Oryzias latipes: one gene and its partners. The protein of the gene in region 1 purifies or fractionates together with the protein of each later gene. This does not show direct contact. Links are inferred from orthologs where the notes say so. Each region holds a gene or a part of one and is shown in the gene's direction. Other genes may lie near its edges.

Region 1 (3,753 bases):
GTTTGTTTTTTTGTTTTAATGTTTAATATTGTTTTCAATTTTTACTAAAGTCCTGTCCAATACAGGTAAGAAAAGCTTTTTGTGCAATCCATCTTGAAGGGACCCTGAGCCTATAGGCTCACAATTCAAAGAAGGACAATATTCTAATGGGCCCTTGATTCCTGGAGAATTGCAATGAAAGTCGGCCTCAATGAATCAATTTGAACTAACCTGTAATTGTAAAAACATTAAATAAATTATGTTACCGTTCATCCATTTTCAGAACTCGCTAAATTGGGGTAATAGTAGTGAGTTGCTGGAGCCTATCCCAACTACTGTTGGGGGAAGGAGGTTATCCTAGACAGGTCAGAATGTTTGATTTATTCCTTTTTAATATTTCATTTCTGCAAAGAATCAAATTAGTGCTATAAATTTCCTGAAGATCTAAAGAATTTTTGCATTGGTCAAACCTTTTTAGATTATTTAACAGTTGTTTGCTGCTTTGCTTTCATTGCAATAAATACAAAGAAGCCAATCAAGTGAAGGGTCTTGCCTTAGGCGCCTAACCAAGTCTGGGTCCCTCTGTGCCTGTCCCCAACCTGGGTTAAAATCTCTGCCAAACCCCCTGAGCAAATCAGTGAAAGCTGATGGTGACCCCTTAATGGATATGCTGAAAAGTGAACAAACAAACTTAAAATGTTAAGAGTAAAATTGTTTTGAGTTTTCCGATATAGAGACATAGAAATATTCAAAAAAGCTATCACATCCAACAGAGAGGGGGAAAAAACAGAACAGATTATGAGTAAGCAGTAAATGGAGAAAATTACTTTTAATGAATAACCTGCAGAAATAAATGTGTGCATTCTTTTTTGTGATTCTTAATGTGAAGTTTTGGTTGTAGCCCTTTGTATTTCCCTAGGTTCCAGTTCCTATATTTGACAAATGTAAAGAGAAAGAATAATTTTAGGCGTTTTTACTGCTGACCTTGAATATTTTGAGTTGATCTTGTATATAAATAAACAGTAAAAGTATACCCGTGTTATAGAATAAAAAGCACACATTAGTAAATCGGCGCCAGATTGGAAAATTTCACATGTTTCACTACGTGCCATATTTAACGTTACACAGGAAGCGAGTCGACTTTGGCTAAAACCTTACCCGTTTTTTTGTCTTACAGTCAAGTGGGTATCATTATAATAATAGAAAACATAGAGTCGGACAAACTGCCAAATTAAACAAATAAGTTTGTACAGTGCATATCAGTAATGTTGAACAAAATACTATTTTTAAAGCACTTAAAGCAGAAGCGACAGCGCCTGTAAGACATGACTGTGGTTCAACATTACCCGCAGACAGTAGAATCCGTTTCCATTATCTTCTGGTATTCATGCTGTCAGAAACTGACAACCTTCTTTAGCCCAGCGTTTACCAGCCGCTATAATTGAAAGGGGAATGTTAGATTTATAGCATTTACATCAGATTGAAGGCAATTGAGTGCACCAGTTAAGTTGGTTCGCTGGTAAAAGCTACACCGCCACGTTGTTGTTACATGGTGGTAGAAATAAGTTCCGACAGGTTAGCTTTGCGGTGGCTATTCCGCTATTTACTACATAACCATGACGTTGGGGAAAGGATATATCCGCTACTTACTGGTTCGTGTCAATTTAAATGTGAATGGTTTTGTGTTTTTATTGACTGGTGTATACAACCTTTTTTGCTTGGTTTGATGTTCCGAATCTAAGATGATGCATGCTTTGGGTTAGCATAGACGGCACGAGTAACAGGTCCGTCAAGCCCTGCTAAATGTGTTTTTCTATGGTGCTTACATTTATAAGCTACATGTACTAAGAAATACTTGCAAGTGTCGTCTAAGATAAGTCCGTGAGGAGACTACAATGCTGAGGGTATTTTAAGCGCGCGCGCACCTAGGGTGTGTATGCGCGCGCCACAGTACAACTTAAAAGCCTTTTTTGTCCTATCAATGTATTCATCTTGAAATCTTGTGTTCAAGGTAACAAAGCATGTTTTCCTATCTCTGACAGGACTGCGGACGTCAGCCTACGGCGTGTGACTGAGAGCCGGCGGGGTTGCAGACAGGTAAAACGGATTTAATATCGTCTGATGGTGTCCGCAAGATGTGTGACTGTCACGCCTAGTTCCAACAAATACGTCTGATATCTTCGCCACGCATTAACGATCAGGCGCCCTAGTGTCCGTCGCGAGGAACTGCTGCGTTTCTGTGGGCGGTAAACCGGTGCTTTGAAGCCAGCTGTTCTTCAGTCTACCGAATTGTGGGCGCGAGACCAAAAGAAATGACGACAGAATCCAGCAGGAGCCGTCCAAAAAGATTTTTTAAAGGCTGGTGTAACTGTCATTTATGTCAAATAATTATCATTATATTCCAGGTTGTGCTTTTCCTTAAATATATATTTGTTTTCTTTCTGTTTTTGCTTCGTCCTACACACCTAGAATATTTGGTAAAAGTATAACTTTTCCAGAATAGTAGAGGACTAACGGCACAAGACGACCTCTTGTTTAGTCCAGTCATCGATTTAGGCAATTGCACAAAATTGACTTGTTTATGAAAGTAATTCTAGGGTTCAAAGTGTGGTAGTTAGCACTCTCAAATCAAAGTGAGAAGCCCCGGTTCGAATCCCAGCTGGGTTCTATCAGAGTTTGCATCCTCTTCTCATGTATGCGTGAGTTTTCTCCAGCTTCCTCCCACAGTCCAAAAAGACGTTCCTCAGGTATTCACACCTGAGGGAGGTGAGTGTATGTGATGTTTGTTTCTGTCCCCCTGCAACAGACTAGCTACCTGTCCCGGGTGGATCCCGCTTTTGCCTCAGCGACCCCGTGACCCCAAACAGGTTCAGAGAATGTAATCATCCCCAGTGGTCTTTTGATTATGATTTATGGGAGACTTTTGTCCGGCCATTTCAGTTGCTGCGTCACAAAAGAGAATCTTTTTCAAACAGCATTTTTTCATCCGCTCATGATTTATCCAGATTTAAATAAAGAAATACTCAGAAACACAGTTTTAATCTTAAATTCTTTTATATATATGTCTTCCATCAAGAGGAAACTTCCATAAGAACATGTGAAAAATGCCAAAAACAGAATTTTCATTGGAGTGAGTCTTTAATATCAAAGAACAGTTCTGAACAACCCCTAATTCATTTGTCTCAACCTCAAGCACTCACAACTTGAAATGTGTGAAGTTAAATTTGATCTAAGGCTTTGTCTGAATTCCCTCACCCCTCCTTAACTACTAAAAGACTATATAGTTCAGACTATGTTGTGCCCTGGATTTTAAAAGTAATTTGGACCCCTTTTTCCCCCCAATGCCATTATGACATCACCCATTTGAAGTACGATCTAATACATATGAACATTTTACAAAATCTATTTATGAGTCCACTATGTTCTGATGATGGAAACTTGGATGATTCATAAAAAAATTAATTTATCACATTTTTTCAAATGACAAATCGTTAAAAAACACAATGCATTGTGGTCTATAGTTCCCAATCTAGGGAGCATCGATGGGCACTAGTTTTTTGCAGAGACTTATCGGACATTTGCAGGGCACTGTCTTTTGGAATTGTAGATTCAGACACCTCAACAAAATGGCAAACACACTTTTCTCTTAAGATGTTTTTGAAACTGATTTTGTTGAATTCTTTTCTCCAAATTTTTTACAACTTTGTTTAGCCGGCTTACGTGGAGATCTTACAAGCTGTTCTTGTGGCTGGTGCTGTTTCACGAAGAAATCAC
Region 2 (3,653 bases), on another chromosome or scaffold:
CGTCAGTCTTTCTAGGAACTGAAGGCAGCAGCTCCTGCAACCTCCCCCCTCCTCCATTTGTGTCACATGTCCCGAGTCTCCAGCCCTAATGGCTGGGAATGGCCAGAGACCGGCATTGCCTCCTGGTACTTCCAAATATAGCAACGCTGCCTACATGTACACAGCAGTTTTACTCATCCACCTGCCTTCTGCACACTGTTAGGCTGCTTTCACACAGCAACATTTCAAGGTTACTGAGTTTTCAGCACCAATAATTGTGAACGCAAACATCAACATAGTGAGGTTCAATGCTCTCATCCACACAGTTACATTTCACTGATGTTTTCTCATATTTTTGAAGCCTTGTCCTGTAAATATCTCCATTATAGTTCCTCATCTTCTTGACTGAACGTCTCATTGACCTGCTTTCATACAAACAAAATATACAGTGATCTCAACAGCATGAACGCTCTTATTTTCTTATATTTGATGTTTTTACTAAATATTAAGAGGCTTTCTGATCCATGCAGAAGGTCTCACCCTAATTAATAAATAACTGAACTTACATCTATGAATATGTTCACTTGTGGGTGAATAATACATTTCTCCTGATGCCACACATGCAGGTTATTAACGCCAATTATGATCAGCTGTAGTGAAGCAATAGCTTTGTCTTTTTATGTTTAAGGAAATGATGAGATTGGAGTGTTAACACGCATAGACATCCTCACTGCTGCTTTACAAACAGACATGTTGATGTTTTGATCTGGCATCATAGACAGATGCAAAGAAATGACTTCCTTCCTATGCAGTTGCTTATTTATATTGTGGGAATGTTAAGTGGCAATTGTTATGTTTTGAATGAAGGACAAAAAATCTGTTTCACAAAACTTTCAAAGTGTGGCTGCTGCAAGTTTTTTTCTTTAAATCATTGTCCAGCCATCCATCCTTTTCTGCTCATTCGGGACCGGGTCACAGGGGCAGCAGGCTAAGCAAAGATGCCCAGACTTTACTCCCTCAGGCCACTTTCCTCCTGATCCTCTCCGAGACGTTCTCAGGTCAGCTGAGAGATGACGTCTCTCCAGCGTGTCCCTGGTCTTCCCCATAGTCTCCCCCAGTGGGACATGCCCGGAACACCTCCCCAGGGAGGCACCCAGGAGGCATACGGACCAGATCCCCAAGCCACCTCAACTTGCTACTCTCGATCAATGAACCACTACCTTAGCGTGGTGATGGGCTTTGAGAGCTTGAGTGATCCCACGATCTAAGATGTCTGGGGCTTATACCCCTGGTGGGCAGACAGGCCAAGACAAAGAGCAATTCAGAACCTCCTTCATAAGTACTAAGCATCAAGAGAGGTTATGACGCCAGGATTGGGGTCACCAGGGCCTCACCCTGGGGCCAGGCCTAGAGTTGGGGCTTGCAGGCGTGCGCTTGGTGGCCGGGGCTCTTCCAACTGGTCGCAGTGGGGTTCATCCTGTAGAGACAAAGTGGCATCACTCCCGTGTGGGCCCACCACCTGCAGGATAGATTAAAGGGGAGCTGGTGTAATGTGGTTTGGGCGGGTACCTCAGCCCAAACCCCGATCATGGAACTTGGCTTTTAACTAATGTACCGGTAGTTTGTCACTTTTTTTGTTTGCGCTTTCCCAGTTTTTGCTCTTTTTTTTCCCCCTGTGAGACTGCTGTCCGTCTTCTAGGTGTTTTAGTCCCACCATCTCTGTGACAGATGCTGATGGCATTTATTCTGGACTCCCTATATCCTGTCAACACTAAATTAAAGCTTTAGGATATCATTAAATGTGGCTGTCATCAGTGCCACTGTGAACCACACCTTTCATGCTTTTGCAGTCATCATGTGCCCTGAGAACCACCCAAGTGTTTGGTGGCAGAAATGAAGGGTTTGGTCCGTTTGATTGGTCAGCCGCCCGTTATGGGTCACTTCTGGTTTTTCAGAATTAGTGCCCCCCCCCCCCTCCATGTTATAGATGGGGTTTGAACACATTTTCCTTGAGCTGGTACAGCTAACCTGCTGGTGTTACTGTGCTGTAACTACACTGGGATGTAAACAGTGGGTTATGCTGGTTAGTGTGGGCAATGGTTTTGAGGAAGTCGGGGAGACGCAGAAGTGGACTAATCTGTCTTTAACTGACTGACGTCAGGTCGCTGTTGGCCTGCAGGGCTCAGAGCCAGGTTTCGGCAGGTAAATACACATCAGCTGCTGCACTAATGACTTAAGTCAATACCGTAGAAGGAAATCTGAAACATCGTCGGTGCTTTTTGATTCTGTGATGTGAATTGGTTCTGAATAAAATCTGCTTTAAGTTGTGTGTCCAAAGTAATTCAAGCATTTCTTTCCTTCGTAGGTCATCTGGTGAAGTGTGCAAAGGGAGGAGGGCAGACAGCGCCACCTGGGCGTGCAGCAAGGGACTGCATCCCATCAGAGCACTGACAACCAGCTTCCTGAAGCTCTGCTGCTGCTGCCAGATGGACTGCAAACTCTGAGGATCCAAGGATTCAGGACTAAAACCGGCTGGGGGGGCATAACGCTCACTGGAGCAGGAAAAGGAGGGCATTGGTTGGGAAAGGAAAGGACAGGGGCTTTATGATGTCTACAAACAGGACCCAGAACCCACACGGACTGAAACAGATAGGCCTGGACCAGATATGGGACGACCTGCGTGCTGGCATCCAGAAGGTGTACACGCGGCAAAGCATGCCCAAGTCACGCTACATGGAACTCTACACGTATCCTGGGATTTAGTGGGGTCTGCATTTGGGTTTATTGGGGAAAGCTGGTGGTTTTCTTACCAGCTTCAACTCTAGAGATGTTAGTATCAGCAAGTTTCTATGAACACCAAAATCCAGGATCTGTTTTCATGCAGTAATCGTCACTTTTTCAAACCGTAATTTGCCTGTTTTAGTAGAAGAAAACTTAGTCAAGTTTTGCTTTAAAGTCCCACTCCAACTACATCTTAATCTGTTGCAAAAGTGTTCCTAGTGGTCTTTCAATTATGATTATGCCCTTTTTAGCCTACATCAAAAACCTGTGTCGTTTTAAGACATAGAGTCTGTAGAGCCGCAAGAGTTCATTATAAAAATCCCCTCTGAGTTGTGGGCGTGGCTGTTGGTGCAGAGAGACTCCACGCTGGTATCCCATCATTCCTTTATTTACACTTTCCCACTAGCTTACCGCCTCTTAAAACCCCGCTAGCATTAGCGTAGCAACAAAAATGGCTGCAATATTGAAGCTATCCAGCCGTACAGCTTAGATCTGGATTCCAGCTCAGATGAGAACAAAGACGTTCATGATAACATCTGTCTGCAAGTGAATGCTGCAGAATGGAGCAGAGCAGGGAGACTTTGGCTCGCCCATTTCAGTTGATATGTCACAACTCTAAGCTTTTTTAAAGCTTTTTTTATCTGCTCCTGATCATCACGATTTCAATAAAGAAATGGACAGAAACACAGTTTAATCTTAAACTCTTTAAATATGTCCTCCATCATGAGAAAAAACGCTACAAGAACATGTTAAGAACGCCAAAAACACAATTATTATTGGAGTGGGTCTTTAGAAGCTCCATTTTTCTCCATATTTGATGTGCAGAAAATAGATGATTGCGGGCGGGCGGCCATGGTGCAGCGGTAGACCATGATCGTAAGGTTGCAGGTTCG
Region 3 (3,753 bases), on another chromosome or scaffold:
CATGGAAAGTGCTAGAAGAAACGAAGCACTCCCCTTCGGTATTCTTCCATGTGATTACAAAGACCTAGAGTGTTCGTTGATTCCGTAAAAAATACAGCGTGCTTTTAATTTTTGACATCCAGATATAGAGATTCTATACAAATACTTTTTTTTTTCAACAAAATTTTGACACATTTTTAGAATTTAGACAATTACTAAACGGAAGCTCGTAGATGTAGTTTTTGCTGTATCTTAAATAACCGCTAGATGGCAGCAAAAATCAAATACGATTGATTTTATTCTTAGTTTTGTTTTTAATATAATAAATTTATAACGTTTAGATTTTACCTCCTTGGCCAATCAAAATATTGTGCATGCTATTCCACTATAACTTTTTATCTGTTGATATAAATAATTACATATTTTTCTGGAGGAGCACAGTTAGTTCGAGAAGGAGCGCCGCGGAGGGATCTTGTCCTGCACTGAAACTCATGAGCATATAGATTCGGCGTGCAGCTCCAGAATCCTCCTTTCTTTTTCCTGCGTCAGTGAGCGGCAGGGATAGCACTTTTGTTGCATTTTATTCAAGAAAAGCCAACATAAGAAACAAGGTATGTCTTGGTAATTCACTTCATATTGAGGGAAACCAAACTTTAAATGGTTTATTATTATTCTACACCGAATGTTGAGTCATTTAACGGGTTTTTTTGTTATTTGATTTCGATTCACGTGGTTTGTTTAACCTTGATTCATCGATTAAAAGCATTTCTGACATAGCGGGTTTACTATTCTTAATTAGTAATGGGCTTTAGGTTAAATCTTGTACTAGTGACCGAAAATAAGTGGTGGGCTTTTGCCGCATCTTGTAGGCAGACAGAAGGTATGGAGATTTATTATTGTGAAGGTTGGTTGTACCTGACTGTTTAAAGAATAACATTACCATAGTTTAACGAGCGATTGACGTGTCTTTGTGTATATTTTGCCAACGAAGGATTCTAGATGGACTACTAGTTTAGAATCTTACACCCAGAGTGTGTACATCATGTACATCTTGCATAACCGACACAGGAGTGCTCGTGGTTTTTCGGGGTGATGGTAGTTTTGGGGGCTATTTTTTTGCAGTAAAGCTCCTGAGCGATAATCCAAAATCGTTCGATCTTGATATTCACGGAAGCTTCGGGTTTTTTCGGTTTTAGTCGGCACGTGCTTGCAGCGTCCATTGTCCATGCCTCGCCGCCATGTTTCGCTGCACTTCCGCCCGTATGTTGTAATCTGATGGCAGGGATCCGACTCTGAACCGGTTTCTGAATTGTGGTAGTTTATGGTTTAAAATTATTCATTAAAAAAAATTAAACTAAAAACTACAATCTTAGTAAAATAATTGGCAGTTTATTACCGTATTTTGCGTATTTGTAAGATGTTGTGCTTTTATTTTGGCGTTTCCTGTTGGTTCATCCCATTATTAGTCTGACGCTGTTTGTTGCAAACCTGTTATTTCTTATGCAGATGCCTGAAGAAATGCACCAAGAGGAGGAGGCTGAGACCTTTGCCTTCCAGGCAGAGATTGCTCAGCTGATGTCCCTGATCATCAACACCTTTTATTCCAACAAAGAGATCTTCCTCAGGGAGCTGATCTCCAATGCCTCTGATGTAAGTCTGCAGCAGTTTACGTAACATCGTATCACCTCTGTGTCAATACAGTGAAATATCTTGACGCTGAATTATTTTTAGGCTCTGGACAAAATCCGCTATGAAAGCTTAACTGATCCCTCCAAGCTGGACAGCGGCAAGGATCTGAAAATCGACATCATCCCCAACAAGGCTGACCGCACCTTGACCATTGTTGACACTGGAATTGGCATGACCAAGGCTGACCTTATCAACAACCTGGGTACCATTGCAAAGTCTGGGACAAAGGCTTTCATGGAAGCCCTTCAGGTATTAATATAAACAGGCATAAAGGGGAAAAATACATATACACATTTATATATTTTTTTAGCAGAAGTGAATACAAATTGTGGAACTTTGCCGTTTTCTTCAGGCTGGAGCCGACATCTCCATGATTGGTCAGTTCGGTGTGGGATTTTACTCTGCCTACCTCGTCGCTGAGAGGGTGGTGGTTATCACCAAGCACAACGACGATGAACAGTACGCCTGGGAGTCCTCTGCTGGGGGATCCTTTACCGTCAAGGTCGACAGTGGTATGGATCTTCAAATATTATAATTATGGTGCAACAAACTAAAATCTGACTGTGAAACATTTGTTAACCTCTACAACACTGTTCTCAGGCGAGCCCATTGGCCGTGGAACAAAGATCATCCTGCACCTTAAAGAAGACCAAACGGAGTACATTGAGGAGAAGAGGGTCAAAGAGATCGTGAAGAAGCATTCTCAGTTCATCGGCTACCCCATCACCCTCTTTGTAAGTGATTTGTTTGTTTTTTTACAAACATATTTCTCACTAATAGAAGCTTATGTGGAGTTGTACGTGGTTTATCTATAGGTGGAGAAAGAACGTGACAAGGAGATCAGTGATGATGAGGCAGAGGAGGAAAAAGAAGAGAAGGAGACCAAGGAGGAAGGTGAGGACAAGCCAAAGATTGAGGATGTGGGCTCAGATGATGAAGAAGACGCTAAAGACAAGGGCAAGAAGAAGAAGAAGATCAAGGAGAAGTACATTGACCAGGAAGAGCTGAATAAGACCAAGCCCATCTGGACCAGAAACCCTGATGACATCACGAGTGAGGAGTACGGCGAGTTCTACAAGAGCCTCACAAACGACTGGGAGGATCACCTCGCTGTGAAGGTAAAATAGAGGTTTGGGTGTCTTCTGATCGGCTGATGGAACCTCGTGCTGACGTGTGTTTCTCTTTTAGCACTTTTCAGTGGAAGGTCAGCTGGAATTCAGGGCTCTGCTCTTTGTTCCTCGTCGTGCACCTTTTGACCTCTTTGAGAACAAGAAGAAGAAGAACAACATCAAGCTGTACGTCAGGAGAGTCTTCATCATGGACAACTGTGAAGAGCTCATCCCAGAGTACCTGAGTAAGTTTTAAATCTCTGTTCCACCGGATCTGAAAGGAAATGCACAGCAGCTTTAAAACGTTTTTGTTTGTTTACAACAGACTTCATCCGTGGAGTGGTGGACTCTGAAGACCTGCCCCTCAACATTTCAAGAGAAATGCTGCAGCAGAGCAAGATCTTGAAAGTAATCCGCAAAAACATTGTCAAGAAGTGCCTGGAGCTGTTCGGAGAGCTGGCAGAAGACAAAGAAAACTACAAGAAATTCTATGAAGGTTTCTCAAAGAACATCAAGGTATCTCAAACATATCTGAAGCTTTTCTAAATGATGCCTATAAACTGATGGATTTTTTTTTTCCTGTAAACTTTTAAGGTGTGAAAATAAATCGACACATATTTAGCGTGAAGCCTTGGAATTGGGCAACGCTTGCTGCATTACCCAGAATTTAGTTGAGTAAATCGATCACAACTTTTATGTTCACAGCTCGGCATCCATGAGGATTCTCAGAACCGTAAGAAGCTGTCTGAGCTGCTGCGCTACCACAGCTCCCAGTCTGGAGATGAAATGACTTCCCTCACAGAGTACCTTTCTCGCATGAAGGAGAACCAGAAATCCATTTACTACATCACTGGTAGGTTTGGCTTCCAGTCCATATGTTCTTTTGTTGATTCTTTTGGCACGACTTAAGTTTTTGTTTTTTGCCTCTGAAGGTGAAAGCAAGGACCAGGTTGCCAACTCTGCTTTCGTGGAGCGC

What was found.
Region 2: the proteins of fbxw2 (region 1) and cul1 purify together in Homo sapiens (affinity purification with western blotting; 13 studies listed by BioGRID and IntAct, with this or other methods). This does not show direct contact. The link is inferred for Oryzias latipes from reciprocal best matches to the Homo sapiens genes FBXW2 and CUL1.
Region 3: the proteins of fbxw2 (region 1) and hsp90ab1 purify together in Homo sapiens (affinity purification with mass spectrometry; 3 studies listed by BioGRID and IntAct, with this or other methods). This does not show direct contact. The link is inferred for Oryzias latipes from reciprocal best matches to the Homo sapiens genes FBXW2 and HSP90AB1.

What each region holds. Positions count from the first base shown.
Region 1 is NC_019870.2:24,496,688-24,500,440, reverse strand, and holds the start of fbxw2 (F-box/WD repeat-containing protein 2), read left to right. Parts: upstream 1-1,375; 5' UTR 1,376-1,631; intron 1,632-2,021; 5' UTR 2,022-2,076; intron 2,077-3,753. UniProt on the Homo sapiens protein: Substrate-recognition component of the SCF (SKP1-CUL1-F-box protein)-type E3 ubiquitin ligase complex.
Region 2 is NC_019878.2:3,231,643-3,235,295, forward strand, and holds part of cul1 (cullin-1), read left to right. Parts: intron 1-2,344; 5' UTR 2,345-2,583; coding exon 2,584-2,726; intron 2,727-3,653. UniProt on the Homo sapiens protein: Core component of multiple cullin-RING-based SCF (SKP1-CUL1-F-box protein) E3 ubiquitin-protein ligase complexes, which mediate the ubiquitination of proteins involved in cell cycle progression, signal transduction and transcription.
Region 3 is NC_019882.2:5,881,866-5,885,618, forward strand, and holds the start of hsp90ab1 (heat shock protein HSP 90-beta), read left to right. Parts: upstream 1-1,479; coding exon 1,480-1,629; intron 1,630-1,710; coding exon 1,711-1,917; intron 1,918-2,020; coding exon 2,021-2,180; intron 2,181-2,268; coding exon 2,269-2,402; intron 2,403-2,483; coding exon 2,484-2,786; intron 2,787-2,856; coding exon 2,857-3,022; intron 3,023-3,102; coding exon 3,103-3,293; intron 3,294-3,482; coding exon 3,483-3,630; intron 3,631-3,709; coding exon 3,710-3,753. UniProt on the Homo sapiens protein: Molecular chaperone that promotes the maturation, structural maintenance and proper regulation of specific target proteins involved for instance in cell cycle control and signal transduction. Undergoes a functional cycle linked to its ATPase activity.